Linked DNA regions of Struthio camelus. The protein of the gene in region 1 interacts with the protein of each later gene in a pairwise test. Links are inferred from orthologs where the notes say so. Each region holds a gene or a part of one and is shown on either strand. Other genes may lie near its edges.

What was found.
Region 2: the proteins of ATXN1 (region 1) and STAM2 interact in binary tests that used the Homo sapiens proteins (3 or more experiments, as listed by UniProt). The link is inferred for Struthio camelus from reciprocal best matches to the Homo sapiens genes ATXN1 and STAM2.
Region 3: the proteins of ATXN1 (region 1) and ZHX1 interact in binary tests that used the Homo sapiens proteins (3 or more experiments, as listed by UniProt). The link is inferred for Struthio camelus from reciprocal best matches to the Homo sapiens genes ATXN1 and ZHX1.
Region 4: the proteins of ATXN1 (region 1) and CPSF7 interact in binary tests that used the Homo sapiens proteins (3 or more experiments, as listed by UniProt). The link is inferred for Struthio camelus from reciprocal best matches to the Homo sapiens genes ATXN1 and CPSF7.

What each region holds. Positions count from the first base shown.
Region 1 is NC_090943.1:99,619,955-99,627,606, reverse strand, and holds the start of ATXN1 (ataxin-1), read left to right. Parts: upstream 1-4,650; 5' UTR 4,651-4,998; intron 4,999-5,784; exon of another isoform or gene 5,785-5,879; intron 5,880-6,427; exon of another isoform or gene 6,428-6,586; intron 6,587-6,647; exon of another isoform or gene 6,648-6,962; intron 6,963-7,029; exon of another isoform or gene 7,030-7,247; intron 7,248-7,652. UniProt on the Homo sapiens protein: Chromatin-binding factor that repress Notch signaling in the absence of Notch intracellular domain by acting as a CBF1 corepressor. Binds to the HEY promoter and might assist, along with NCOR2, RBPJ-mediated repression. Binds RNA in vitro.
Region 2 is NC_090947.1:44,678,652-44,686,133, reverse strand, and holds the start of STAM2 (signal transducing adapter molecule 2), read left to right. Parts: upstream 1-4,481; 5' UTR 4,482-4,592; coding exon 4,593-4,638; intron 4,639-4,663; exon of another isoform or gene 4,664-4,933; intron 4,934-7,482.
Region 3 is NC_090943.1:160,143,059-160,149,957, reverse strand, and holds the start of ZHX1 (zinc fingers and homeoboxes protein 1), read left to right. Parts: upstream 1-3,886; 5' UTR 3,887-4,062; intron 4,063-4,339; 5' UTR 4,340-4,449; intron 4,450-6,899. Other genes in the region: ATAD2 (ATPase family AAA domain-containing protein 2), read left to right, coding at 216-287. UniProt on the Homo sapiens protein: Acts as a transcriptional repressor. Increases DNMT3B-mediated repressive transcriptional activity when DNMT3B is tethered to DNA. May link molecule between DNMT3B and other co-repressor proteins.
Region 4 is NC_090946.1:4,000,287-4,007,812, reverse strand, and holds the start of CPSF7 (cleavage and polyadenylation specificity factor subunit 7), read left to right. Parts: upstream 1-4,519; 5' UTR 4,520-4,576; intron 4,577-4,704; exon of another isoform or gene 4,705-4,738; intron 4,739-5,524; 5' UTR 5,525-5,589; coding exon 5,590-5,643; intron 5,644-7,526. Other genes in the region: SDHAF2 (succinate dehydrogenase assembly factor 2, mitochondrial), read right to left, coding at 73-203, 398-507, 1,548-1,774, 4,326-4,358.

The DNA.
Region 1 (7,652 bases):
GAATGATTTTTTCAGAGGCCACTACAACACGTAACTCGGCATGATGTGGTAAAATAAAAAAATGAACAGCAGCCTTTCTTTGGAATCTGCTTCCAAAGGACCTCAGCATTTTAGACCAAAAGTTTTTCTCTTTGAGTCGTACTGTAGTACTACATACTTGCTTAGTCTTCATGAATGCTTAGCTCTCATTTCACTAAATGTTAATTTGCATGAGATACTTGTGGCTTTAAAGAGACAGCATTGGCTCTCTGGGTCTGCCAATCTAATTCCCTTCCATCTGAAAACAATCACAGTCGGAGCTCTGGAGAACATCCTCAACATCCCTATTCTGATAGGGGCTACACTCATTTCTAAGAGAACGCAGAGAAAATAAAGATGTTAGTCACATGCCATTATGTTCACATAAGTGGCACTTCAAGTTAAAGAATACATTCCAAATATGTTCTTGTGCTGATCGTGTTCATTTTTAACTTCCCTGAGGAAAGTGTACCTTAATTAGTCTGCTGTAATCCAAATTAGAATTTCTCATATGTTAGAGCTCCTAAAATACCTTAAATCAACTGCATATGTCTGAAATAAAAATGAAAATAACTGCATTATTGAAAATTATCTGAATACAAGAGGGCTATAAATAGACAGGAGGTGGATTGGACAGTCGGCAGATTCTGAGTTGGAATAAAAACATCGTACTTAAGCCAAAAGCATGGCAACCGATATTTTCTGTTATAAAAATATTTGAGATGAATTTAGTTTTTATGAAAGCTGTCTGAAACTGAAATGGATAGCAGAAATTCTCTGTTTATTTGCAAGCCAGTATTAATACCTGAAGCACAAAGCAAGACACCTTAAGAGCAATGCCAACAAGCCTCTGATTGTATTCAAAAATCCTTTTTTGCCACAGGAGAAAACTGATTGTACGTTCATTCTCTTTCACAGTAACCTCCACCTTGGTAATGCCTGTCACTTGAGCAAAGTGTATGACAGGTCTGTGAAGTGGATTACTACTGTCCACTAGAGGCTGTAATGAGACCAACAATGTCATTTTATGACAAATTGAAGACTTAGACTGTAATGATTGATAATTTTAAGATTATTTTTCACACGCAGTACGTCTCTAATCACTGGATTTCCCTGGGTGCGAATGTTAAAAAAAATCCAACTTCTTATGCCTCGTATTCCCTCATTTTTCATAGTTAACTATTAATTGTATAAAATACGCAGTGTAGATGACACAGTACAACTAGTGCATTGAAAGACAGTTTCTTCTAGACAGTGTGCACCTTCCATGTCAAATTGATTAATGGCTTTTGGTCAAGAGCGCATTCAGCTGGGAGTCATATCACTTTTGGCATGTCACCAGCAGTAAATAAAAATGCTGGAGTCTACGTGTGTTCTTGCGTCCCACTCGCCACTGCAGTATCTGAGCCCCGTCCACACTGCGCTCAACCACGTGACTAGCATCTGTCCTGGATTTCGTGGCTCACTCTCTCCCCTGAGGGCAGGACAGCCGGTAACAGAATAGGTTGTTTTGGAATTTTGCTACTACTTTGGGGTCCACCCCTGTTGCTATATGCCCTTGTCAGAGGGGGCAAGGTGAGGCAGTTTAGGGCAGTTCGGAGCTGCTGTGAGAGCCCGTTTGACGTACCCGGGCTAGCCCTGGAGCAAGACCTCACCTCTTTGCTGCTGAGTTGCCTCCCTCTGCTGTGAGAACCTTCCTGGTGGCAGGTAAATTCAGGTTTATTCTCTGTAGCAAGTGACTCCTTCTCTTGGGGCATAGTCCTGCACCTCTGAGTCAATAGGCCACACTGCCTTAGTACACACTAAGCGACCTTTGCCCCAGCCAGTCACCACAGATCACATTCAAGTGCTGTTTCGCAGCCCCTTGGCCCTCAGCAGCCCTTCTGTATGTTGTGGTATAGAATAGAGAATAGCTGGAGTCCCAGTATAGGCCCTGAATAAAGGAACTGCAAAGGCACAATGACATCTCGTGATATGGTAGTATATCCTCTGGGCCAGGCAATGTTAAGGGAGGCATGATAAGGGGAGTCCCCATCTCTTTTTCGCCTGTTATGCACCCGACATATTCCCAGTCAGAAGAAGGCGAGGAACGGCTTATGAACCTGAGGTGGTTGGCTGGAGTTATGGCATTTCCCAAAGCTACGGTTTTAAGGTTGCCTGCTGGCTCAGGAAGACAATATTGCTTTGATTTCTTACTGACTTACATTTTAGGGGTCTCTTTTCAACTCTGAGGCAGAAACACAGGCAGAGATTTAGGAGCTCAGCGCCTCGTGCGTGGCAAAAAAACGTGGGTCCTGTGGCAAACACCATAGCCGCAGAACGGAGAAATAACACAAGCCTCTTACATGAGCCTGCTGCAGAAGGGAAAGTTGCCCAAAGCTTGCTTCAGCATGAATGTGGCTTCTCTTTCCCGGCGTGTGCCACACCTCTTGGCAAGGTGAGCGAGCGGCTGAGAAGGAAAGATTCCTTTCTCCTGAGGTAACACTCTGTGCAACTGGAATAAAAAAGGTGGCGGACGGGAGACTGCCGCATACTCAGACATGAACCCTGGTGACGGGGTTGCAGCTTCTCCAGGGCTTTCACTTGATTTTCAGTAATCCTCAGTCCCTGTTTCTCTCCCTTGGTTACTTTTGGTAAATCAATGAACCTTGCGTTAGCTGGTTGAAGATAATTTTGCTTTCTGCTTTGCTGCTGGATATGCGCTATCACATGGTGCTGAGTGGCAGGTTTGACCAGACATCTTGGCCTGTTGCTGCTCCTATCCCCAGATCACTCATAAAATGGAAGATGATGTTGGATTTCATAGTGAACCTGAACTAAAGATGTAGAGGCTGCAGTAGTAGAAGATTCTTACGCTTCATAAAGTGAGTCTGTATTCAGTATCTACTCTAAATCAAGAGCGCTGCAGCTTAAAATGTTATTATTACATTCTTTAGCAATTACGGTGAACTAGCACAGTTGTTTATAGAAGGGACGACTTGCTGATCAGCAGAATGACAGAGAGAGTCCTAGGGTATTTTGCATCTAACCTCTAATGCTAGAAATATCTAATGGACACATATATCTACACTAGAATCTGCTCCCTTGGAGTCTGTTGTGGTGTGGGCAAATTGGTACAAGCTGCAATGAGCAGTCTGGTCTGAATGGACATATTGCAGGGAGTCCACATACACTGCTCCCTGGAGCCTTTCCAAGGCTTGTGCATTGGTGCATCTATCGCACAGCCTCCAGCTCGGTGGAGCAGGCATATAATTGCCTTCAGTATTTATGCAACGGTTTTGCAATGTGGTGGTGGCGGGGGGGAGGCTTTCTCCATGCGGCACGTCCCTTCCTGATGCCAAAGCAGAGCACGAGTAGTTGCTTATGGACCCGCTGTCAGGTTGCATGCAAGCCTAACAGCCCTACCATCCTTTGGTTGTATTCTTCCCATTTGTTTCTTCCATTAATTGTTTTAATTTCCTTAAACTGTACCCGTCTTGGTAATATTGTGTTTTGTCTTTTCTTTTCTCCTAAAACTTGGAAGACCAGACTGAGCCAGTCCAGAAAGAGGACATTTACTTTGGTCTCCAGTTTGCATCTGTGTTTGTTGTTTGCCCATCACTGCAGTTTATGAACTACGGAGACCCATGTTGAGAGCAGTAAGGGGCTAACGAGCTGATGCTGGAGCATTGTGGAAGTGTAAACTGCCTTAGCCAAGGGGAGAGTTCGGGAGGGACTCACGGTGGTCTGTGTACAGCTGGGAGAGATGTGAAGGGATCTTGGATGAAATGCGTGCTAAGCATCTGGAGAGCCTTAGTACCCAAACATGCGTGGTTCAGCCCTGACTGTCTTGTAGTTCAGTGATGATATGAGTCAGACTCTCTTTTGGTCTGAATGAAGTAGAAGGTACTTTTTGCAAAGCAACTCAAGTATATGCCAAGGATCTGGATAAATAAAACTAATTCAGAAAACGGGAGTGGGATGCAGGCTCTTGCTCAAAAACACTTTGCAGTTCTCCACAGCGAAATGCAATATGGCATCTTAAATAAAATCACCCCTTTCTGACTCTCACAGAGGCTGCTTCAGAGCATTCCCTGGCTTCCAGCACAGTTTTATTTCCTCCCTTAGAGAGGCAGACCAGCCTTGATTGAGCCGCTGATTTTCATGCATCCCTTAAACCAGCATTCCCTGCCATTTCTGAAGGACAGCATGCTTTGCTAGTCGGCTCTTCTTTCCTTGGTAAGCCATATAGTTTTTTTTTTCCCTTTGGCCTTCCTTCCCCCCTCCCCCCCCCAAATGTATTTCTTCCTGCTTGCAAAGTGCTCGGCGATCCCGAGGAGCAGGCGGTTGTGCACAGCAGCGGCGTGCGCACACGAACCCCGCCGCCGGGAGCCGGCCTGGCCTTTGAGGTGTTAAAAAATAAAAGGGCGGTGGTGGCGGCGCAAGGGGCGACGCGGCGGCCCGCGGGGCGCGCAGCAGCCGCCGCCGCAGCAGCAGCGGCCGCAAAGGGTTAAGGCGGCGGCGGCGCTGCGCGGATGCAATAATCTGTGTGGCTCTGCTGGCCGCCTGCCAAAGCGCTGCCTTGCCTCCTCCTCCTCCTCCTCCTCCTCCTCTCCCTGCTCTCCCCCCCCCCCCCCCCCGTTTGCATGAAGTAGGATCCTTGAGCTGTTGCAGAGGCAGCCAACTGCTCCATATTTGGCTTCTGTTACACATTTACATACTGGAGAGAGAGAGAGAGAGAGAGAGAGAGAGGAGAGGGAGCGAGCTCTGTACCGCAGACATCATTTCTACTACAGTGGTGGAGACATCCCGGACCTGTGTCACTGCAGGGGGAAGGAAAAAAACCAACCAACCAACCAAACAACAACAACAACCACCACCACCTCCCCCCCCCGCCCCGAACAAGCAGCCCCAAGCCCTGTGAGCAGCTAGGAGGACATTAGTGCGCGAGTCTCCCTCTGGCCCCCCCCCCGCCAACCCCACCTCCACTGACACTTTACAGTAAGTGGCTTTTTTCTTCCTCCTCAGCTTTTTTTTTTTTTTGTGCCTTGTTTCCATCCCCCCCCCCTTTCCCTCTCCCCGGCTTCTTCCCTTGTTTAGACTGCGAACCGCCAGCGATTTCCAGCTGGAAAAACACAGGGTTGCGGGGGGGGGGGGGGGGGAGCGCACCGCCCGGGCCCGGGCCCGGGCCCCGGCCGCGGGGGGCCGCGAAATGGCCGAGCGCCGCCGCCGCGGGAGGGGGCGGCCGGGCGGGAAATGTCCTCCGAGGGGAAGGGAAGGAGCCGGGCCGGGGGGCGGGGGGGGGCAGCCCCGCGGCCGGAGTTGCTGGTGAGGCCCTCTCTTCTCCGCCCCCCCCCCCCCGCCGCACCTTCCTCATCCTCCCAACCCCCCCCCCCCCGCCGCGGCGCGGCGCGGCCCGGCCGGGGGTGTCGGTGTCTGCGGGGACGGTGGACATTTTGCGAGCCGCGGCCGCCCCTGGTGCGGCGGCGGCGGCCTCGGGCTGTGTGTGTGTGTGTGTGTGTGTGTGTGTGTGTGTGTGTGTGTGTGTGTGTGTGTGTGTGTGTGTCTGACTGTGCGGGGAGGGGGGTTGTGGTGGTGTGTAGTGGTTGGGGGGGGGGTGAGTGTGCGGCCGTTGGCGGCGGGTGGGGAGGTTGTGTGGCTGTGTAGTGCGTGCGGGCGGGCGGGCCCGGCGGGGCGGGGGCCCGGCCGCCGCCGCCGCACGGCGTCTGTAGTAGGGGCCGGGCGGCTGCCGGAGGGGTGAATGAAGCGGGGGGCGGGCGAGGCGGAGGAGGCGGCGCTGCGGCGGGGCTGTGCCCGGCAGCGGCCCCGCGCCGCCGCCGCTGCCGCACGTAGGGGCCCGGGCCGGCCGGAGGCGCCACCTGGTACTGGCAGCGCGGGGGGAGGGGGGCAGGGGAGAGGGGCGGCCGGGGCCGGGAGGGGGCCGGGTCCCCGCTGGCGGCCGGGGTGCTGCGGGAGCCCCGTCCGGGCGACGCTGTCCCCCCCCCCCGGTTATTATTATATATATTTTTCTGACTTGTTGAGATCTATTTATTTATTTGCCTGAAGCGGCGGAATTTGCCGGCGTGAACGCAGATAAATGACTCCCTCCCTCCCTCCCTCCCTCTCCCCCCACCCCCCAATCCTTGTTTTTAGACGCCTGTAGGTGCTGAAGCCGTAAAATGCGGTTCCTTGAGCATATCGGAGTCTTAATTTAAAGCGTGCTGGAAAACGTTAGCGCCGGCTGTAATAGTAATAGCGGTAATAATCAAATGACAGAATGGGGAGCGATTTACATGTTACTGAAGGGGAGGAATTGCTGAAGAGTAATAATAGAAAAGAAAACAAGTCGGAAGCCCGTTATATAATGCACTATGTAGATAACAGGAACGACGGGCTATTTTTATTTTGTTTACCGTATGCTGTGTAATAGGGACTCCTCCAAGCAGCATCTCTCCCCTGTGAGCCTGAACTCCAGGCAGAATTAGCAGAAATTACAAGGCATTCCTGTTATGCCCACACGAAGGAAGCTAGCTTGGTAAAACGTTGCTCCTTACAGATGTATTTTGTGGACGAATCAGGAATTGTGCAGGTAGGTGACCTTTGCTGGAGATCTTGTCCATTTCATATGGTAAAGAAATTTGTATTTTGTAAGGCAAGTTGCATTTAACCTTTACTGTTCATGGTAATGTATTATTTTATGCGGTAATGGTTACTTTACATGTCAGATGTGGTCAGGCATAGTGAGTTACTTCGCTTACGTGCTGGGAAGTCAAGGACTTTTAATTTCGGTTTCGATTGAAAGCTTTCATTAAAGGAAAATCCAGCCTTCACGTTAATCTATTTCTCTTTGGGTGATGAAGACAGTTCAGCTTTGTAACAGGGATCAAAGGTTGTGAATGAGGGAGAAAAGAAATTGAGACTGGTCGGGGGAAAAAATGCCGCACTGGAGTTGTTGCTGAGGTACGGTGAGAGAACAGCACGATGTAGTTTTTACGTTATTGCCCCTAATTTGTCCGTACAAACGGCCCACTGTTTTACAGGCAGCGGTGCTTTCTGGAGGGCGACTTTACTAGTCGCACGGCTTTTTTACGTAAGGCGGAGGTGGATAGATCCCCTCCGGCTCTCGCCCGTCGCTCCCGCGTAGCTGCGTGCCGGTGGCACAGGTTTCCAGGGCACCTACTCCAGCCCCCGTCGCTCCGGTAATTAGATGAGGCTGCCATGGTAACAGACGGTATTTCTCGTCCGTTCAGGTGTGCGTGCGCGTGTGTGTGTGTGTGTGTGTGTGTGTGTGTGCATGCGCGCGTGCGCCCGCTGTGTGCCCGGGCCACCTCGCGGGGCGTGCGGGTGGTATCGCCCCGTGCAGCCCGGGCGGCCCCTGGCTTTACCCCGCGGGATATCGGAGGATGCCCCTGAGCGTTTCCCTCCTTCGGCCGGAAAATATTCCTTGCGTGCTGTAGTATCAGGCATAGTATATGGTGTGCGTATCGAGTTAGCCAAATCGTCGGTTCCGCTTGTGCCGATTATTAGCGAATTAGCAGAGGTGTGGTACTTCCTTTAAAAATCCTCTTCGTTTATAAAAGCTCGCATAAAAGTTTCTTCAGAGTCGTCCTTTTGTGTTGGCTGGCTGTTTTAACCGCTTGCAGGCTGAAGTGGTT
Region 2 (7,482 bases), on another chromosome or scaffold:
ACGAGCCATTCTCGCAAGGCCATGAAGCATGTGTTATGGGTTATGTTAAACATGAAAAGTACAAAGCCAGCGTTGTCCCCATACAGCAAACGCGATCCCGTTGACTTTATTGGAGATACAGATCCAAATCTCGTCCACAGCCCTGCAGAAAGAATCACTTATATGCTGTCTTGAAGCATACTGTTATGCTATAATGCGATGCAAAGTAGCATACTGGCATTTTTCATTCCCAGTATAACTGCTTGCAGTGAAAGGACAGGGAATTTCTATCTCATGACAGGAAGCTTCTGATCTGAAATTCGGCTTGTACTGTGAAACAACTGGGAATGCATCACAGCCAAATTCTTCACTGCCCATGCATTTATTTAGATAATAGGATATGGCTGGGAGGGCATATGGTGCCAAAGTGAGGCAGATTTGTTCATGAAAATTTGAACTTCATTTTTATATCTACTGCCATATTGGTAGGGCCAGGAATTCCTCATGCGACCTTCCACTAAATACATCACTTCTTTGAGGCAAATTTACTGGGTTTCTGGAAGACTTTTCCTACGTGCCAGAACACCTTTTTCCTCTTGATTCCTGACTGGAACGGATGGGAGGGTAGGAAAGAGAGCTGTGGTCCCATAACGTGCCTAGTCCACCTACCTCTGATTTGCTGCTATGGAAGAAAAATAAGCTGGTAGGAGCTGCTCCACCATAATGAACCACGAGCAGGAAAGGGATGATGCCCCGACCCCACATGTTCTTAGTTTAATGTTCCCCCTTCTCAGGGACATTATAGATGGCTATACCTTTTACATACTGACGTATAGTACTGCGTAGTACTACAAGCGCTCTCAGAAGTCTACATTGCTGGAAGAACATCTCTCAGAGATGCAGGAACCAAGACTTAACACAAAGATAGACATGTCGTTATAGAGCTCCCTGCCTGAAATACAGGATCAAGAGCTGTGGGTGAAGCAGCAGCAGCAGCACTCCCATATAAAAAGTTATGCTAGGGTGGAGGACACTGCCTGGGCTGAGCATCTCACAGGGAAATGTCTTCTGACTGCTCCAGCAGGAGCTGCCCATCATCATGCCCACACAAACCTGGTCTGCCCTGACTGAAAATATTTTTTTTAGAAGGATGTTAAGACCCCAGGACAAACCCTATTAACATGGTCCTTGGTCCTTAGCCATCTAAAACTGTCTCTCTACGTTTGGATGGCTATTGGATTTAGATGCTGTGTGGGTGCTGTGTATAAAAGAACTGGGGAGAAGGGGGATGCATTAATAACAACTGCCTCACCCCTCTCCCTCTTTTTCTCCATGGTGGCTACTGAAAGAAAGATGAACCCCATTGTGTAACACCAGATACAAGAAAAAAAATACGATTAGGTGATGTATTCCAATTAAAAATCAGCTTGTTTCCAAGAGTATTGCAACAGCCATAGACAAAAAAGTGTTTAGGATGATTTTATGAGGAGACTTGAGTGTCGATTGGAATAACAAAGCTAAAGAAAACTTAATAATGAATCAAAGTATTTAAAGAGCAAAGGTATGTTCCATTTACATGCTATCTGTATGTTTATGGTATCTGACTGTCTATAAAGTAAAATATATGATCACAAATGCTCAAGTTTTTCTGTATTTGTTTAATGCATTATCTTCTTTTATGCAAGGGCAAGGGCACAACTGGTACAAAGTCTCTTCATCTGTTGACAAGAGAACAGTAAAAGCACAGCAGTATTAAGAGTGTGCTTCTCTCTGGCTTCTTACTTTTGTCACAAATATCACCTAGTAGTAAAATCAAAAAATTGAGGGGCAGCGTGCGCTCATGCGTACCTTCTGAAATGCTTTACACGGAACTATTTTACGCATTTCTGTGCAGTCAGTGTCTCTCTCTGCATGACTCCTACACAGAGCAACAGCAGAGAAGGAGCATTATAAAAAGAGAAAAAATATTTCGGTAAACAAAAAAAATTGACAAGAAAACTAGGGGTCATCTGTAGAAGGATATGGCATCTAGTCACTTATGAAACAAAATTAGAAGTCTTTCCAAATTGCTGTTGTGCTTTTAGGCACTATGAAAAATCTTTCCAAGAGTTACTAAAGTTTTTAAGAAGCAAACATTTTGTACAATATAAACTATCCTTTAAATCACGTTACAAAAATTAAGCCTTGAAATTAAATGTTATGACAACACATTGCTACAAAAGTAACACTGAAAGATCAGAGTTGGCCAGTTTGAGGTGCAATATGGCACTGAAGAGGGAGAAGCAGCTGACTTCCTACAAAGTACTGGAGATCAGTCACCGATACAGAAACCAGAATTTGCAGATGGGCCTGCTCACATTAAAATATCTGAGATCCAGGGTCATGTACTGCTCAGTACCCAGGGATAAACAGATTATCAGATTTGGAGTCTGGAAAAACAGGTTTAGAAAAAACATTTTGTTTTAATAGCTGTTTTTCTAGCCTCCTTTGTCGTGCTTCCTAGGAGTTCTCCTTAATGAATAGCTTGTTCTTGCAGGATTCAGGCTAATTGGCAATGCCCTAATTTTTTCTTTTCTCTTGCTGAGTTTTATCATTGCTGTGGATTTTATTATTTATGGTGGGATTTAGGTTTATTAAAAGGTGTTGGGAAACGTCCTGTGGCTTGGTCACGGGGTCCCCTAGAGCAGAAGTTCTCTGGATGCTTCTGGGCTATATGTCACTGCATGACTTCCCGAAACTGGGGCTCAGACTCAGTACAGGTGGTCCTCTTCAGTCCTCCGTTTCTAAAACGTATTCACAGAACTCAGATGTATTGATCGTTAAATAAAAAACAGAGCAAATGAAGACATGAAGATTTGTGACATTCAACTCAATGTTAAGGTGACAAAAATAATGTTACAGGATTTTAAAAATCAAAGAAGCTATCCATATCCATTTATTTGCATGTGCAACTGCTGTGATTATTGCACAACATGTAATACTGTGGAGAGTGACAGAGCTGAAGTTAATAAAAGAGAAAACCCATTGCCTTGAATTATGCAATTTGCTATTTCAGCCAGCTATTAATGTTTATTGCATTTCTGTACAAATTGATTCATCCTTCCTCTTTAAGGCAATTAAACAAATTAGTGCCATTTTTATTCAGCCTGATTCACTAAGTGAAATTGTAAGTTTCAATTTAATTAGTAAATTGAAGACTGAGGGAAAGGAGCTCCATTTTGCCTTAAAAATTTGACAGCAGGAGTTCATTTCCAGAACTCAGCTCAGTACTCTTTAACTACGGTCATGAAAATGAAGCAATGTTGCCACCTACAGACTACCTGAAGCTATCAACACGGTGAACAAAACGGTAACTTGCTCTGAAACCGGAGGATAGAAACAGCTGGTGAGACTGAACATACAGTCTTCCAAATTAATATGCAGAGGCAATTTTTAATCAACAGAAACGCTGCATATGTTAATATTATATCATTACAAGCTCCGGATGATTTAAAATAATGGTTTTTGAGGAACAAAATACTCAAGAAATATAACTCTGCCCTCATTTTTGAAGAATCGTCAATGTAGTCTTCAAATACAATTTTATGTCCAATATATCACCTAAAATTCTTTACAAAATATGTTACAAAATATTTTTTAAACCAGTAAGTGCAACTTTTCCACCCTGAAGTTTGAGACATGCGTATCATAGCTGAGGGAAAAACTGTGGTCCCTGAAATTTCAAATGACCAGGGGGGGAAAAAATTCACCGAATCTCACAGGAATGCTTTCAGGAATCTTGTTCGCCGTATTTTCAACGTCCTGATTTTCTCACAGAAACACTGCCGCTTCAGCATGGCAGCGCCTCGCTTTTCCATGAGTCCAACGAGAAATCAAAAATCGGCTCGGACTCACGCGCTGACGCTCCCGGGCCCACGACTCAGGACTCAGGCTCAGGACTACTCTGACAAGCGGCTGTAAAACTTAGGACGGGGCATATTCCGGCAGGCACAGGGTGCTGGGCGCGACGCCACTGACTCACGCACCGGCGGGCAGGGACGCTGCTGACGGGAGGCCGCGCTCCTCACAGCGCTCCTCCGCTGTTGCGCACCACGTTTCTCCGCCCAGCCTTTCACACGACCGAGCGTGGGCTCTCAGGCGTCTCTTAAAAACAAGGGGGGAAACGGCTGCGCGGTCGGGACCGCACCGAGCAGCGGAGACGGAGTGGGGGGGATGGGGGCGGCCGAGGAATAACGGCCACCACAGGCGCCAACGGCCGCCGCAAGCACCGCCTCAAGATGGCGCCCCCGCCCCGACGTCACAGCCCGCCAACGGCGCCCCCGCCCCTCCGCCCCTCGTGGGCGGGGCCGCGGCGCTCGGCCTCCTGCAGCCCCGCCCTCGCGAGGCCCCCGCCGCGCCGGGGTGTCCGCAGAGCGCCTGCCGCCTGCCCGCCCCGCTCCGCCCACCCGCCGCCGGCGCGGCGCGTCCTCCTTGGCGGCGTCAGGCGCGGCGGGGGCAGCCGCGCGGGGGCCTTGGCGGCGGGGGCGGGCGGGCGGTGTCTCTCAGCTGAGGAGGGGGCGGGCGCCGCCGCCGCCGCCGCCGCCGCCGCCGCCGCCGCCGCCGCCGCCGCCGACATGCCGCTGTTTGCTGCTAGCCCCAACGCCTTCGAGCAGGACGTGGGTGAGCCAGCGGGGCCGCGGGGGGCGCGGGCGGAGGCCGGCCGGGCCTCGTCGCCTCTCGTCTCCGCGGCGGCGGTGGGGCTGTGCTGTGCGGGCCAGGCCGCGGCCGGCCACCCACCCCACCCCCCCCGCGCGGGGCGGCCGTTAACGGCTGGGCCCTCAGCGGCGGTTACTGGCAGCCGCGCGGCGAAACTGAAGGGGAAGGGGGGGAGAAAAACCAAGCCTGCAGCTTTCTGGCGAGGTTAATGCTCTGCGTGTTCGTAGTGTGTTTAGCTTGTCCCTTCTGGGCATTAAAGGTGAGAAATCAACTCTGTTAATGGCAGCAGGATCGGCTTTTTCTGCCCGTTTCGGTGTCTGCTACTGAGGCATCAGCTGGGAACTGATGTGGCAGCACCGAGTTGAGCCGGAGCTGCCATTTCTTGCCGTTACAAAACCCCGAGGCGGCTGGGCTGGGCTGGGGTTGGTGCCGCTGACAGGGCGAGGGTGCTGACTCAGCGGCTTTTTGTTTGACCCCTCTGCTCGGTCTCGAGCATCGCACCTGTTCTGTGTGGTTCTTCTTAAAATAATGCCAGTTCTGAATCTGCGGCACAGCAAAAAACAGTTGAAGTAAGCTGGATGCCAGAGTCAGGTTTACATTTGTTGATGCCCTGGTATTTTAGGTAAGAGAAGAATTCAGCATTCCTGGGATTTCTGTCAAAACTGGAATATATACTCATGGAAAACATTGATGTCTGTGCTCACGTTACAACACTATCTCTTTTCTGTGTAGAATAAGTCGCTCTGTTTTCTTAACGTGTCTTCAAAATTTGCATAATAAAAGCATTCCCTTTCTTTTTCTTTTCACAAACCGTCGTGAGATTGTAATGTTGACCTATGATTAAAATAAGGTAGAAACTTGTCAGACCAGCTGTATATGGGCCAGTTATTTCAAGTATCTTGCAAAGCTTTATCTGTGTTCCAGCCAGAGGTATCTTTTAAATGGCTCTAACTGATGTATTTGCAAAGTAAAGACTCTTTGAACTGAGGACTCTCTTATTTGTGCAGAATTTCTTGGCAAACTTAAAGGCTTCAAGGACTTTCAAATATTATAGTACTTCAAAAGTGACAGACTCTTCACTTACAATTTCTTTAAATATACCTTATTTAAACTTGGTGAAACAGTGTGCACTTACTACAGTTAAGCAAGTGCAGCAGAGTAAGAACTTCTGGCTGGTGAGCTGAGTCATATATGAAGGTGAAGGGATAATGAATTTGGGAGTTTGGCAAGTTGAATCAGCTCAGCAAAAGCGACAAAAATGATAGTGGAAAAGAGAGGCAGGACTCCTCTGCAAAGCTTGATGGGAAGGACAGCAAGCAATTAGGTTGATTCGGTTGTCCCTTCAGACTGTACATCTAATGCTTCCGTTTTTTTGGAACACCTTTAGAAAAACGTGGATAAACAGACTTTTGCTTTGTCACAGCTGGTTTTGCTTCCTTGATTCTGGGTCCTTATGTTTGCTTTTCAGCAGAGCTGCATAGAGTCTTAGTTCCTTGGCATCTGCTCTGGCAGCTTTGTAAACAGTTGTGGTGTCACAGGATTAACCTATGGAATAGCATTTTAGAGGAGCTAGATTTCTTCCCCCTTTTTTTTTTTTTCTTTTTTTCTCTCCTGTTGAGAGGATACTCCGAAACTTCAGTTCTTAAAGGGTTAGAAGCTTTTAAATTTCCTGTCTAGATTTTTTCATAGTTAGTTCTTATGCGCTTGCTGTTTCCCCACTGTTGTCCTCTCTTGTAAATAACCTTCATCTCTTAAGTAGTTTCTCTCTTGATAGAGAGCTAGCCTATTCCCTTTTCTCTTTTGTTAGTCTTCTTTCTTAAGATCGTTGACACCGCCAAGGGAGTAGGGAGCACTTTCCCTGCTAATTTGAACGTTGTTATCCAGACGTGTACCATAGATTGTTCACATCTTGTGTAATAGCATTTAATGCTTCCTTGTACTTTGATGAAATGTTTACCTTGCACTTTTCACTCTAGTGTTGTATTTACCTTTTCTGTGGCTGCTTTGTGTTGGTGGCCCATGTCCTCTTGTATTAGATCCTGGCGTACGAGTCGTTCTCCTGCCCTGTTTTCCATACTCTGTTTCCAGCTGTTCAGTACTCAGTTTCTAGGAGAATCTTTTATTGGCCTTGACTGTGTGCGAGTTTATATTTTCTCCTACTAAATGCTATCTTTTTCCATCTAGTTCAGTCCTCAAGGGCTTCCCTTTCTCCTTACGTGATGTTTTAGTCTTTCCTTGTATGGCCAATACCTTCCAACTTTCTGCTAGATTTATTACAAGACCCTTACTCTTGCTGTCCGTGTCAGCAAGGGCTTTTAATATTGATTTCAAGACCAATTTTGAGGCATTTAGGACGTAAACTCTCCCTGCCATCACTAGAGTGCTTTATGTTAAGAGTTGTCTGTCTTATATTGTGGAATGATCTAAGAACTGTAGCTAGTTACTTACGCATGGCATCCTATGAAATGTTTTGCTGCAATCTGACTAGACCAACTGATGCTTAAATTAGCCTTTGATAAGATATCCTCACGTAGAAAAATAACTGATGTCTGTTACAGTTCACCATGTCTGTCCTTCTCAGTCTGTAGTAATTCTTGCTTTCAGCATTTGGTCTGAAGTCTTGCAAATGTTTGAAGACAAGCTGTAATTGTTTTCTGTTGTTGCTTGGGTCTGTCTTTTTTCACCTTCTTTAAACATAGGGACCACATTTTCCAGTCTTCAGTCTGTGGCTCTGTCTTAACTTATTACAAGTCTTTACTTCTGAATCTGCAATGTTGGGTCATTTCTCTCTTGTCCCTGTGATTATTA
Region 3 (6,899 bases), about 61 Mb from region 1:
CTTAAATCGTAATGCTCAAATTAAAGGTGACTGGATTTCTTTGTTTTCTACTTCTTTCTTTAGCTTTAAACACAGTCTCTCCTATTCTGAATGTGCTGTGCGAGTAGCTACCGTAAATTAATTATTCAGCGTGCACAGAGTAACTTTTTCAGCTTTCAGTTGTGACTTCTCAGGAAGGATCGCCTTCCTAATTGTTGAAACAACTGTTGATACAGGCTCTGTATCCTATTCTATTTTGGACACGCAGCAATGCCTCGGAAGCTACAGAGAATATAAAAACATTGTGACGGCTTCAGCACGTGTTCTTGCTAAATATCACCAACAGTTGTATGTATTTACAGATCCTTTAACTTCGTATGAAGAAATAAACAGCAGGGTTCTTAAACTTTTGTTCACGCTTATTCCTAGTTTGTTTTCTTTTTTTTTTTATTAGGAAATGAAGAAAGAAATTGCAACCTTCCGTTGTGCTCAGTAATGTGATCTTCAGAATACTTGATTTCTGCTCCGTAATGTTTTATTTTCATTGCATGCTGTTCTGTTACCTGTGTATAATTCAGTAAAAAGTACTTCTAAATATATATATTATGTATACATACATATATAAAACAAATATATCTTAAAGTATATTAAAAAGGCTCAAATAAAGTCCTTTAACTGCTTTTATTTGATATTTTTGTCCTATACATTATTGTATGATAGTAAATCTGGACAGAAGGATTATACATGATCTGTTGAGATCAGTGTGTTCAGCTTTCTTTTCCAATATGCGTTGCCTTAAAGTTTTGTCGTCTTTTTTTGTGACATATGTTTGTCAGTGCCTTTGGAACTTTGTAGATTTGAGCATCTTCCAGGTACTCTAAGTGCCTCTTTTAAAATAAAACATTGGAAAACTTGATACACTTTTATCATCTTCTTCCAACTTGTTAGAGTATATTTTTCTGAAGTCATCTGTGGTGCTGTATGTTCCATTGTATATTACATAAAGGCTTTAAAACAAATCTTATTCTGATATATGAAAAGTAAATCCTTTAGAAACCTCTTAATCTGGTTCAGATGTAATTTTTTTAATCACCTGATAGCACCTCAAGTGGCTTTCATAAAATTAACAACCTAAAGAAAGTGTGTGGGAGGAACATTGTTTCCACAAACGTAAGTATTTTTGCTACGACATATTTTGCTTAACTGTCCAAAAAAAAAAAAAAAAAAAAAAAAACCCAGAAAGCAAGATTCTACAGATTCTAAAGTAAAGTTTAGTCTTGCTTGTAATACTGACAATCTTGATACCACGGAATAGAATTTTAATATAAATTGTTAATTGCACGTGTAGGTGGCTTACAGTGGAATTAAATTGTAAATAGTTTTCTGGTCTTCTGGAGAGTATTATGTTTGTGTATTACCTAAAACTAAATACATTATTGCTGATAAATATATTTAAATAATACTAAAGCAATACCCTTTATTGAAGATGGATACCTCTTCAATCCAGAAGAAAAAAAATTCTAAGTTAATTTGACAGTTATTTTTAAAAGCAGTTGAGAATAAGATGGTCTAAATTTTTTTGAAAATGAAAATATATAACAAGTACAATAAAGTATGTGTATCATGTTGCTGTTGTGTATGTGATATGACATAACACCTAGTGATACTGAATGCCTAACTGTGCAATCTCTGAATGTAAGTTTTCTAGTTTTCGTATCTTTTTCTCTTCAATGTGTGCCCAAACATTTGTGTACTATGCAGAATTTTTCTTCTGTCGGTAGTGTTTGGATGTATATTATTAAAAAGTGAATCATCATTTGAGTTTGTCAGTTTTAATTGTAGAATAATTTGAGCATTAAAAACCTTACTTGTAAGTCTTAAGACTTACACTGGTATTTTAAGTGCAAGTACTTTATATGAACAGTTAAACCAAGAATGGGGTAATCAGTTATATGGCAGAAGCAAACATGAGAGGAAGAAAATGTATATTGAGGGATGAAGGAATCCATCTCATCTTGCCTTAGCTTGATCTCCAACTTAGTTGGTGGCTGTCATAGATTTTTGGCAGGATTGGTCTGTATGGTTTGCTGATCTTTATTCTCCAAGATTACTTTTTTTAAAATCCTGTATAATGGGGGTGAGGCTGAGAAATTATGAGAAGGAAGACTGGAAATAGCTTCTGGAAAGCTTGAAAGAGTAGACACTGTCTCTTTGTCCTTCTCTCCTCCTTTTTTGCTTTAACTATACGATCGCCCTTCTCCTATAGCTGAGTTCTGCAGGGTAAAGTTTTGGGATGCTAGCTAGCATCCTAGAGCAAGCAAGCAGCAGCTCACCTTCTTAGGCCGGTCTAATAAACTTCTGCCTCCACTGAGACATGTGTCCTTCTATGCATAGTACACTACTTCCTTATCTTAACAATTACATCTACTTCAGTCATAAAACATGCAACTTACCTGGCATATGATTTGCCTGTATTTACCTACAATATAACTTAGTTCAGTTGTTTCCTTGGGTATGTTACGGATGCAAGTGTTGTCCAGGATTCACCTGTACCTGGAAAATAAAAATTCCAGATTTCAAGAGTGCATGTGTATGTAAGCGAAAAAACGCTGTATGCTGATGCTGAATCTGAAAGCCACAGTAGAGGACACGTTCAGTGGACAACAGGAAGCTTTCATCCTCCAGGGAGAGGAGAGGGAAAAAATTATTGAAGCAAAAAAATCCTTTTTTACCACTTCAAGGTGAAGTTGAAAGCCTGACATCCAAAATGCACCTTTCACCAGGGAGTCGCTGCTAGCTCATTGTATGGTAACTAGGAAATTTCTTACTTGAACTTTTTAAAAAAAAAAAAAAAAAGCATGGCAAACGAAGAATCAGAAACAGTGTTCTGCTCAAAACTTCAGAGTTTTGGTTCAACTTTTATGTACTGCTAGCCTCAGCAGGAAACAGTACCTATATTGTTTTAAAAATGTATAGATGTGTAAATCTTAAAGGTTGGTGTGATGCTATTGCTTTTTTTTTTTCTTCCTACTGTGAGGAAACTTAAATTTTAGTGTGACCCCAAATTGCAAACTACTGCTTAAGATTAGTATGTTAAACAGAACGTTTCAAAAAGTGCGTGTGGCAGGAGTTAAACTAAAGCCTGACTAACCCGTTGAGGGGCGTATTAACTGAAGAGGTCCTCTTTCCCCAAGTTCTGATAGGAGGTATAAAAAAACCCACGTTATTTGGTTTTATAGTTCCCTTCCCCCCCCCCCCCCAAAAAAAAAAAACCAACCTTTAATTCTGTGCCAGTTTGTTCGAGCCCGGCGCGGGGGTGCTGGGCCGTACGCTAACTCCCTGCTTTGGTGACAGACTGGCCGTCGCTAACGCAATCTCAGATTTGCAGAGAAGGAAAAGCTGTGAGGTTAAAGCCGATGCTAGCTTTAAAAAATCACATGCACGTGTACACAGACACACGCACGTACACATATAGGTACATATCAGATTCACATCCCTCCTATGTATGCGGAGATCTCGGTTCAGAGGAGTTGGTGGAAGCTGCTGCTGATCCAACGCCGCCTCGTTAACGGTTTCTTCCCTGTCGCCTCCAGGGCTTCTTCTGCCTTCTCCCGTGCCCGAGGCGCAGCCCGGGGCCGAGCCGCTTGCCCCGGCCCGCCGCGGGGAGCCGCGGGCCGCGCCGCAGGTGCCCGGGCAGGGCCGCGGGGGCTCCCCGGGCCGGGGCCTGCGGCGGGTGCCCGCCGGCCGCCTCACGGGCGGGGCGGCGGAGCGGCTCCGCCCCCGCTCCCTGTGAGGGAGGCTGAGGCTCCGGCCGCCGCTGCCCGGCCTCCCCGCGCAGCCCGGGGGCAGCGAGGCGCCGGGAGGATGCGAGTGGGCGCCGCGGGCCGCGGCGAGGCGAGGCGAGGGCCCGGGCGGCCGGCGGCGGCGGCGCTGGGAGTTCGCGGCTCGCTCGCCGCCCCCCCGCCGCCAAAGAAGTGCAGTAGTTTGTGAAACGCAAGATGGCGGCGCGGCCGTGAGGGGAGGCGGCCGGCGGGCGGCGGAGGCGCCGGCGGCGGGGGCGAGGAGGCAGCGCGGCGCCGCCAGGTAGGGGCCGGCCCCTCCGGCGGGGGCGAGCGGGCGGCGGGAGGCCAGCGGGCGCCCCGCGGCAGGCGGCGCCCTCCCGCCCGCCGCCGCCGCCGCCGCCGCAGCAGCAGCCGGCGGGCGCGGGCCAGGTGCGCCCCGCGGGGGCGGCCGCCGCCCCACCGCCGCCGCCGCCCGCCCGCCCGTTGCGCTGCCCGCGGCGGCTCCGCGGGCGAAGTTTTGGGGAAGGCGGCGCGGAGGCGCCGGGCGCGGCCTGACGCTCCGCTCTCCCCCGCCGCAGGATGCGCAGCGCCGGCGATCGGGAGCCACTTCGGTAAACGGCGCGACGGAGGCGGCCCTGGATCCCCGGGAGGACTCGGGATATCCGCAACAGCGAGCGCTCCCGGGCAGGTACTTCATTTTTTGCTTTCCTGCTTTCCCCGTGCTTCATGTTTTGAGCCGCTTTGCTTTTCTTGGGGGTTTAAATAGCCGAGGGACCAAGGGGCTCGCTTTGCACCGGGCGCCGGTGAAAGCGGAAAGGCCGGGGTGCGGATGGGTCTGCCAGCTGGAAGAGGTGCCGCTCGGTTGTTTTTTTGTTTTGTTTTGTTTTTTTTAAATAGAGATGAGCAGAGAGCGTGTTGGGAACGTCAAAAGTGCGTATGGAAGTGGATTTCGTTATGGAACTTGTGACATGGACACTGATGTTTTGTTAAAGTTAGAGACGGGAATTTTTAGAAGCTGCCCTGTTGGTTTTGACCAGCAGTCGTCTTGTTTGGTTTTGTTCAGAAGGATTTCGCACGCAAAAAAAAAAAAAAAAAAAAAAAAAAAAGAAGCTTTGGGGCTCGCGTAGAGACAGAAAAGAGCCCGTTCCAGCTGCTTAAAACAACCCGTACGACGCAAACTGTAGGGCTGCCCTAAGCAAAGACCTCTTTGAACGAGCACGCACCGTCAGGAAACCCTCCCGTCACTGCGTTGAGACGTGGTCAGGGAGGCAGCGCGTTTCAGCTGTGAGGTTCCACAAATTCCTCTCAGCTGATGAGAAATAGATGCTATGTTTTATAGCGGAAACGATCTGCCGTTAACTTTCAGGTCCTGGCACTTGCTCTGTCTTTGCTAGACTGACAAGCCCTCTGCTCTCCCCTTTTGGTTAGCATAGGCGTCTGCTGCGATTGTCCTAAACTTGCCTTTGTTAAGCATAACGGTTTGAGGCAGCGCTCTTCCTTGCAAGGCCTGCTTTCCTACTCTCTTAATGGTTCTTAGGAGTTTTCCTGGATTCTGTCCTTTCTGACAACACCCTTGATGACCTGTGCGTGCTTCAGCCTCATCAAGTGCTCTGGCGTCTAGCCTTGACTGCTGTCACTTACCGTTCTTAGTTACTGTTGGAATAGAGAATATTTATCACTGCCTATGAATAGGTCGTTGGAGACTTCTAAAGCTGTTTGTTGAACATCTCTGCCTTTTGTGGATTTCTCGGTACTGAAGCATCACTAACAAATAATGGACTTTGTACTATGTCTGGGGTTTCTCTTTGTTCCTAATGTACTGAAAAGACGGTTTCCTTGCATCTTTTGCTTCATTTAACCATGTGTATCTTTCGACTTAAGCTTATTACTGCCTCTGAACTTTGCCACTTAGTTCTCCCCTTTCTCCCATTTGTTACGTGTAGTGTGAAAGAGAGGGTTACAGTTTGATTCAATTTTTTGTCTAGTTATGTTTAACCTTTGCGGCCGTTTTGTTTGGGAGATGAGTTCTTTGGAATTTAGAGAGGTCATATTTGAAAAATTATCAGTCTTATCAAGTCAGATTCTCTCTTTTAGCTTGAGTTCAGAATTTTTTTCCAGCTATATGAAGCTGGTCCTTTTAAAGCACCAAGTACTTACAAGCTGGTTTTTCATTCTGTTTGCACACAGTAAGTGTAATCAAATCATGCTCACTTGTAGCTAAGCTATGGCTCGTCTTTGTTTTGGTGTTCATTTGTTCTTTACCTGTCAAACTGAGGTCTAATGTAGAATTCCCCTGTGTCAGATGCAGCATTTTAATTTTATGAAATTATCTTCTCTAATTTTCTGAAAGCCTGAGCCTCTTTCAAAATTGACAGACTGATTCCTCTCCCCTTAAATTTCAGTCCTATGTGATAACAGTTTTGGGGTTGTGATGGTGGGGGCGGTTCTTAACGTTGTTAAGCGGGGTGCATGAGGCCCTGGGCGTTCTGATCTCTTCCGTAAATTAACGGTCAGTATTCCCTCTCCTTCTTGTGCTTTATATGTGAGGCCACTGATCCATAGAAGTCCAAGATGGTTTGCCCTGAGTTGTCAGTGACTTGTAAACAAGCGATGCCATGTTCGGTGTAGTACCGTTTCCCCTTTTTCTTTTGTTCATTTGATATTTCCTAAATAGGCAGCAATATTGGTTTTTGGCATTCTGGTCATGTGTATCTCCCCTCTATGTGTCAGTAATATCAACTTGGTTGAATATATGCCCATAAGAATTCAATTTTTTTTTTATTATTTAGGTTTCTGATATTGGCAAATTAGCTATTAAAGATGCTTCTTTCTTCAAGCCACTAAAAGGATGTGATTACTTCTGTTTTCAGTATCTTTATTATGTTGCTGACTACTCATTTATTCCACTTTTTGTTCCCTCTCTCTCTCTCTTTTTTTTTTTTTTTGGTGCTTCTAACTTTGCACCTTCTCAAGCATCTAAACCACTTTGCTGCATAAACATTTGTTTATTTTCCTGTGGAGATGAAAGCCACCCAAAGTGATACAGTTTCTTATCCTGTACCAACCAGATGACATTTCATAATTCTGTGCCTTGCATCACTTTAACTGATGTTTCCCTTCCAGTTCTGTTTCTTTCAG
Region 4 (7,526 bases), on another chromosome or scaffold:
TGAGGTTGCCACAGAGACCCTGGTGGCCCTGCACAGCTCCAAGAGATGAGGAGGCAGAAGGCAGCCCTGCCATCAGCGGGGTGACTCAAAGAGATACTCCAGATCTGGCTGCCGCAGCCTCTGCTCCCTGTTCTTGTTCTTGGCAAACTCCTTCAGCATGGCCATGACGTCGTTCTCAAACACAGCTGGCGTGGGTTTCGCTTCTGCAGTAAAAAAAGGGGCAGCACGACAATGGTTGGCTCTACCCTCTCCCAAAGCATTCAGCATGACGCCAGCCATGCCAAGCCCAATGTTTTGCACCCCAGAGCGATCCTGGCCTCGTCTCTTGCCCTGAACCTCAAATCAGGGCAGGAGATTGCAGTCAGAGCCAGGAGGGCAACAGACGGCTGCACTGTACCTATTGCCCAGTAGTAAATGTCCCAGTCATTGCTGGGCTCATTGATGAGCCGGTCATAGAGGTTCAGCTGCCGTTCACTCATGCGATTCAGGTTCTCCTTTGCAAAGAGGCTGGAGGAGAGAAGATATATGAACATGAGCAAGGGTGACTGCAGGAAGAGCCGGGCTGGCACGCTGATCCTGACACTGCCTGGTGCCCAGCTCTCTAAATGCTGCAAGAAGACATAGAGGAGCTGAATCCAAGGTGACCTGTCTTCTGCCTTAAGTCCTAGCCTGCTCTCCAGCCATTAACCACTTCTTTAGTCCTGCAGTCCAAGAGGCCTTAGCCCTGCTGAACTGGCTAATGAACTTCACTAAACCCCTGCTGGAACCCAGAAGCTTTCAGCGGTGCTCACTTTCTGTGAGGTTCTGAGCTCAAAGAGCTACCTCCAGCCTCGGAGAGCACGGGAAAAAATTCCTTTTATCACTGCCTTCAATCTCACACTGCTCCTTTGGTACTCGTGACACAGAAGGCGAGACACTCCCCTCCCCTGCCCTATTCCTATATCCCAGATCTAGCATACATCCTTCCCAAAGGAATTTGACTCGATCTACCGCTAGGAGGAGCTTCCTCTAGACATCTCCTGCCTCAGGCGGCCTCTAGTTCTGTCCCATCCTACCCTGCAGCAGTGCTAATCACTGCACCGCAGACCTGTACAGGTGATGCTCTCACAGCGGTTCACCTGACTGCTCACAAGCAGAGCCTCAGATACTTGCTTTCCATCCCCTTAGCAATGTTGCATCTCATTAGGTTTTAGATTATGGCTGTGCACTAGTGCACCTCCAGCTCTTCCCTGTTAATTAAAAACCTGTAACTTCTTTAGGGAGCTGAACTATACGGCAGCTACCTCTTGGCCAGCCTTTCTCACTTCCTCCCTGATCTCTCTGGTGTGGCTAGTGTTGGCACTGTCTCTTCTGCAAACTATGCTCCATCCCTGCCTACTCCCATCTGCAGCGGACAAACGAGCACTGTCAGGGCATAGCAACCCAGACGTCCTGACGCAGGGGAGGCAGATGAAGCTGCAAGAGGCTTGCTGAAAAGCTGGGAGGGAACGGGGCTCAGGGCGTGCGTGCTGCAGCTCCGGTGGGAGGACAAGCACCCGGCACCTCACCTGAGCAGAATGCAGTTCTCCAGCATGCCCCTCTTCCTGCTCTCATACAGCAGTCGGGCTCGCTTGGTCTCCAGCGGCTCATCGGGGCGCTCCTGCCAGGGTGGTAAGGGGATCTCTAGGATGTCCTTCCCCGAGTCCGTGGGGGAGTCTCCGCGATAGCCGCACTGCACAGACACGTGCCCCAAAACAGGCCGGCAGAGCACCCGTCCGGACAGCGAGCAGAGCTGCTGGAGGGGACACAGACAGCGCAAGCGTCATACCCTGACGTGCAGCAGACTTCAGGCCTGTCTGCCCTCATGCAGTGGAGTCAGGGAGACTCCCCAGCCCAGACAAGGCCCCCCCAGGACCTGCTGCCCCCTCAGCCCAGGCACGGCACCCCCAGGCCCCCCAGGCCAGACACGGCCCCCCCAAGCCCTGCTGCCCCCCCAACCCAGACACAGCTCCCCAGGCCCTGCTGCCCCCCCCAGCCCAGACACGGCTCCCCAGGCCCTGCTGTCCCCCCCCCCAGCGCTGACAAAGCCCCCCCAGACCCTCCAGCCCAGACACAGCTCCTCAGACCCTGCTGTCCCCCCCCAACCCAGGCACAGCCCCCCGGGCCCTGCTGCCCCCCCAGCCCAGACACGGCCCCCCGGGCCCTGCTGTCCCCCCCCAGCCCAGACACGGCCCCCCGGGCCCTGCTGTCCCCCCCCAGCCCAGACACGGCCCCCCGGGCCCTGCTGTCCCCCCCCAACCCAGACACGGCCCCCCGGGCCCTGCTGCCCCCCCCCAGCCCAGACACAGCTCCTCAGACCCTGCTGCCCCCCCCAGCCCAGACAAGGCCCCCCCCCAGGCCCCCCAGCCCAGACACAGCTCCTCAGACCCTGCTGCCCCCCGCAGCCCAGACACGGCCCCCCCAGGCCCCCCAGCCCAGACATGGCTCCTCAGACCCTGCTGCCCCCCGCAGCCCAGACACGGCCCCCCGGGCCCCCCAGCCCAGACACAGCTCCTCAGACCCTGCTGCCCCCCCAGCCCAGACACAGCCCCCCCAGGCCCCCCAGCCCAGACACGGCTCCTCAGACCCTGCTGCCCCCCCAGCCCAGACACAGCCCCCCAGGCCCCCCAGCCCAGACATGGCTCCTCAGACCCTGCTGCCCCCCCAGCCCAGACACGGCCCCCCCAGGCCCCCCAGCCCAGACACGGCTCCTCAGACCCTGCTGCCCCCCCCAGCCCAGACACAGCCCCCCCAGGCCCCCCCAGCCCAGACACGGCTCCTCAGACCCTGCTGCCCCCTCAGCCCAGACACAGCCCCCCAGGCCCTGCTGTCCCCCCCCCAGCCCAGACACGGCCCCCCGGGCCCTGCTGTCGCCCCCCAGCCCAGACACGGCCCCCCGGGCCCTGCTGCCCCCCCCAGCCCAGACAAGGCCCCCCCCCAGGCCCCCCAGCCCAGACACAGCTCCTCAGACCCTGCTGCCCCCCGCAGCCCAGACACGGCCCCCCCAGGCCCCCCAGCCCAGACATGGCTCCTCAGACCCTGCTGCCCCCCTCAGCCCAGACACGGCCCCCCCAGGCCCCCCAGCCCAGACACAGCTCCTCAGACCTTGCTGCCCCCCCAGCCCAGACACAGCCCCCCCAGGCCCCCCAGCCCAGACACAGCTCCTCAGACCCTGCTGCCCCCCCAGCCCAGACACAGCCCCCCAGGCCCCCCAGCCCAGACATGGCTCCTCAGACCCTGCTGCCCCCCCAGCCCAGACACGGCCCCCCGGGCCCTGCTGTCCCCCCCCCAACCCAGACACGGCCCCCCGGGCCCTGCTGTCCCCCCCCAACCCAGACACGGCCCCCCGGGCCCTGCTGCCCCCCCCAGCCCAGACACAGCTCCTCAGACCCTGCTGCCCCCCCCAGCCCAGACAAGGCCCCCCCCCAGGCCCCCCAGCCCAGACACAGCTCCTCAGACCCTGCTGCCCCCCGCAGCCCAGACACGGCCCCTCAGACCTTGCTGCCCCCCCAGCCCAGACACAGCCCCCCCAGGCCCCCCAGCCCAGACACGGCTCCTCAGACCCTGTTGCCCCCCCAGCCCAGACACGGCCCCCCAGGCCCCCCAGCCCAGACATGGCTCCTCAGACCCTGCTGCCCCCCCAGCCCAGACACGGCCCCCCCAGGCCCCCCAGCCCAGACACGGCTCCTCAGACCCTGCTGCCCCCCCCAGCCCAGACACAGCCCCCCCAGGCCCCCCAGCCCAGACACGGCTCCTCAGACCCTGCTGCCCCCTCAGCCCAGACACAGCCCCCCAGGCCCTGCTGTCCCCCCCCCAGCCCAGACATGGCCCCCCGGGCCCTGCTGTCCCCCCCCAGCCCAGACACGGCCCCCCGGGCCCTGCTGTCCCCCCCCAACCCAGACACGGCCCCCCGGGCCCTGCTGCCCCCCCCAGCCCAGACACAGCTCCTCAGACCCTGCTGCCCCCCTCAGCCCAGACACGGCCCCCCCAGGCCCCCCAGCCCAGACACGGCTCCTCAGACCCTGCTGCCCCCTCAGCCCAGACACAGCCCCCCAGGCCCTGCTGTCCCCCCCCCAGCCCAGACACGGCCCCCCCAGGCCCCCCAGCCCAGACACGGCTCCTCAGACCCTGCTGCCCCCCCAGCCCAGACACGGCCCCCCCAGGTTCCCCAGGCCCTGCTGGCCCCGGACCCTCCTCGATCCCTCTGGCTCCATCCCTCTCAGCTGCCCCCCAGCTGCTCCCACAAGGTCACCGCCCCTCACCTCCCAAGCCCAGCCCAGCCCTGCCCCAGGCCACCCCCAGGTCACCGTCACCCTGGCCACGGCCATGGCTCTCAGCATCCCGCCTGGCCGCCGCCGCCCCGCGGAGCCGCTCTGCGAAGCGGGGCAGCCCAGCTCTATGGCCCGGCGGCGCGCGTCGACGCGAGCTACGGGGGGGGGCGGCCGGGCGGGAGGGCCGGAAGGGGCGGGGCCGCCGCCGGAAGGGGCGGGGCGGCGGCGGTGGCGCGGCGGCGGCGGCGGCGGCGGCGGCGGCGGCGGAGGCAGTGGCAGTGGCAGTGGTGAGCGCGGGCGGCGCGCGCGCGCGCTGGGGCCTGCTCGCCAGGCGGGGCCGCGCGCGGTAACGGGCGGGGCGGGGCGGGGCCGCGTCAGGGCCGAGGCGGGGGGGGGCCCGGCCGCCGCCGCCGCCGCCGCCGCCGCCGCCGCCGGGGACGGGAGGGGAGGTAGGGCGCGACCGGCCGCTTCCTTCCCCTCCCCCCGCCGTTGGGGCAGGGGCGGGGCGGGGGGCCGGGGGGCGGTAGCGCTGTCCCGGGGCGGTTTGAGGACTGCTCCCCGGGGGGTGTTTCGGGGGAGCGGGTCACTGTCCGCCGGGACGGGGTTAGTCCGGGGCCGGGAGGAGGTGGTGGCCCCCTCCCTCCCCCGGGGGGGGGGGGTGCTGTCCGCGGAGAGGGGTCCGGGCTGGGGGGCGGGCGTTGGGTGCCCCCACCGGGGGGGGTACGATCCGCTTCCCGGGGATGGGTCCAGAGCGGGGGTTTTGGGGGGGGATTATTGGGGATGTAGGGTGGGGGGGCTGGTGTGCTTATCACTCTCGGTGTTGAAACAAGGGGGGGGTGAGATGGCCCCAGGGGACGAATCTGGGCTTGGGGGAGGGGGTCACGCTGCCCTCAGGATGAAGGAAATAGGGTGATGTTGCCCCCGGGGCTTGGTCTTGATTTGGGGGATTGGGGTGACGTTGGCCCCAGGGACTGGATCTTGGCTAGGGGGTTGGGATGAGCTGGCCCCCCAGGGGCGACCCGTGGCTAGGGGGTGTGCTGTCCCCGGGCACGGGCTTCTCTAGGAGAGGAGGAGTTGGTGTTGGCCCTGGGCACGGCGCGGCTGGTGCCTGCCGGGAGAAAAAGCCTAAAACCCTATTGGTAGTGGCGGTGGGGCAAGGGGATGCGGGGGGGGGGGGGCGCGCAGGAGGTTTCCAGCGCTAAGGTGATCCCCCTCCCCTCCGTCGCCCGCTGCAGTGCACCTTTGGTCTTCCTGCCTCGCCCCGGTCCCCTCCTGGGTTCTCGGTCCTGTCTCTGGAAATATGTCCGAGGGAGTGGATCTGATTGATATCTACGCCGACGAAGAGTTCAATCAGGTGAGCGGGGCACCAGGCCATGGCGCCGCCCCGTGCTGGGACCACTGTGGTGGGGGGGGGGAGAGGGAGGGCGGGCAGCTGCTTGAGCAGCTCACCCTTTTTTGGGGGGAAGAGCACGTTAACCAGAGTTGGCCAGCTCACTGGCAAGACGCTTAAAGCGGTTGGTGTTAGTGTGTGTGTACTTATTGAGCACAGGCAGAAGAAGTGGCTTGTGTGGGAGGAATACAGTGGGACAGCATTGAAGAGTCCCTCTGGGAAACTAAGGACTGGGACTGTCATCAAATCACGGCAGCTGTGATTTTGAGCCATGAATAAAATGTGGTTTCTATAGGTTTTGCAGGGGATTCAATACATGGATGGTTACAAAATATTCAGGCAGTTGGGAGGGTTGAGAAGGAGGCAGGGTTTCCACCAAAACATTTACCGAGCTGTTGGTGACTGGGGATCAAAGTGGATAGTCGTGACCTGCTGTGGCTGGAGAAATAAGACGTCTAGACTAGAAGAGAGCTGCACCGAATATCTGTGAGAGGACTGCGTAGCAAGGGAGTTTGAAAGCACTGAACCTTGCGGGCCTGCAGATGTGCATGCTGGGTGGTGAGCTCTCTGGGGAAGCGCTGCGTGGAGACCTGCACGGTAACTCAAGATGGTCGGAGAGCTGCTGGTTGCAGGTCATCTGCCTCAGGTGCCGGGGGCCGAGACTGCCAGAGACCTGCCGAAAGAAATGGTGGAGAATGTGTGTGCGCAGCCTCTAGAGAAGCAGATTTTAGAGAGTTCAGAGATCTGGACAACTGAGGAGAGTGGGTGTGCCTGCACATCTTGGAAGATTGAAAACTGCCATGGAAAGACCATGGAGGAAAGTTGGTCCTTACTGGATGGCAAGCTGCAAGAACTAGAAGCAAAGCACAAGAAGGAATTGCCAGTTGGCTAGAGCTCCCAGAGGGCTGAAGAGGAGTCGAGGGCAATAAATCCTTTGTTCTGAAAGGCGGGAGGTTATCAAGAGAGAATATGCCTTAAGTTAAACATTCAGGGAAAAGTGAAACATCAGAAAAGCGTGTTAATTGCCTCAGAGATGAGAGAGAACTGAGAGATGCTTTCAGCTGTCTGGGAAGAAGCAGGAGTTCCCCACTGAAAGCAATTACATTAGAGAAGGGCAAAGTCAAATCTGGTCCTAACGTTGCCAGAATAATGGAAATCTCACTGCAAAAGTGAGTTGCAAAATAAATACGCAGTGTTTGCGCTGCCTATAGCTGCAGGCTGCCCTGCACAAGTATCCTCAAGCTCTGAAATACTTCTCCCTTCAGACCTGGGTGGTTCTGCAAAACTCTTCGAAGTCAGATCCCCCATGTGTTACACAATCTAAGACTACAATGCGACCGGATTGAACTATTTTGGGTTAGAAATAGTCTTAATTTGCATGTTGCCTTGCAAAAAGCTTTTAACAGTCAGAATCAGGAAAGTATACCTGGACTTGGGAGGCAGAAGGTAGAGTTAAACAGTTGAAGGAATAAAGATGGAAGGTCTGGAAAAAGGAAACATGTGGAGGTTGCTGGGCTGGAATTTAGAAATACATTAAACGCAAAATAACCAGCAACCATCATTTATGACAATTACCTTAAATGCCAAAGGAAAACAGTGAAAGAGCTGGAGGAAAATAAATAATATATCTTCATCTGCAGAAGGAGAAATGTGGCGTCGGCAGGTGTGATCTGGAAAGTCTCTGAACGTCTTGGAGGGTAACTGATGAAGAGCAAACAGGTGGGAGGGCTTAAAAGGAAAATTACTGTCACACTGCTGGTTTTCCACTTAGATGGTCAAATGCTGCCTGTCCTGCCTGTGCATTCAGGCTGGCTTGGCAGAGAAGGCTCATGTGCTGGAAGGCGTGA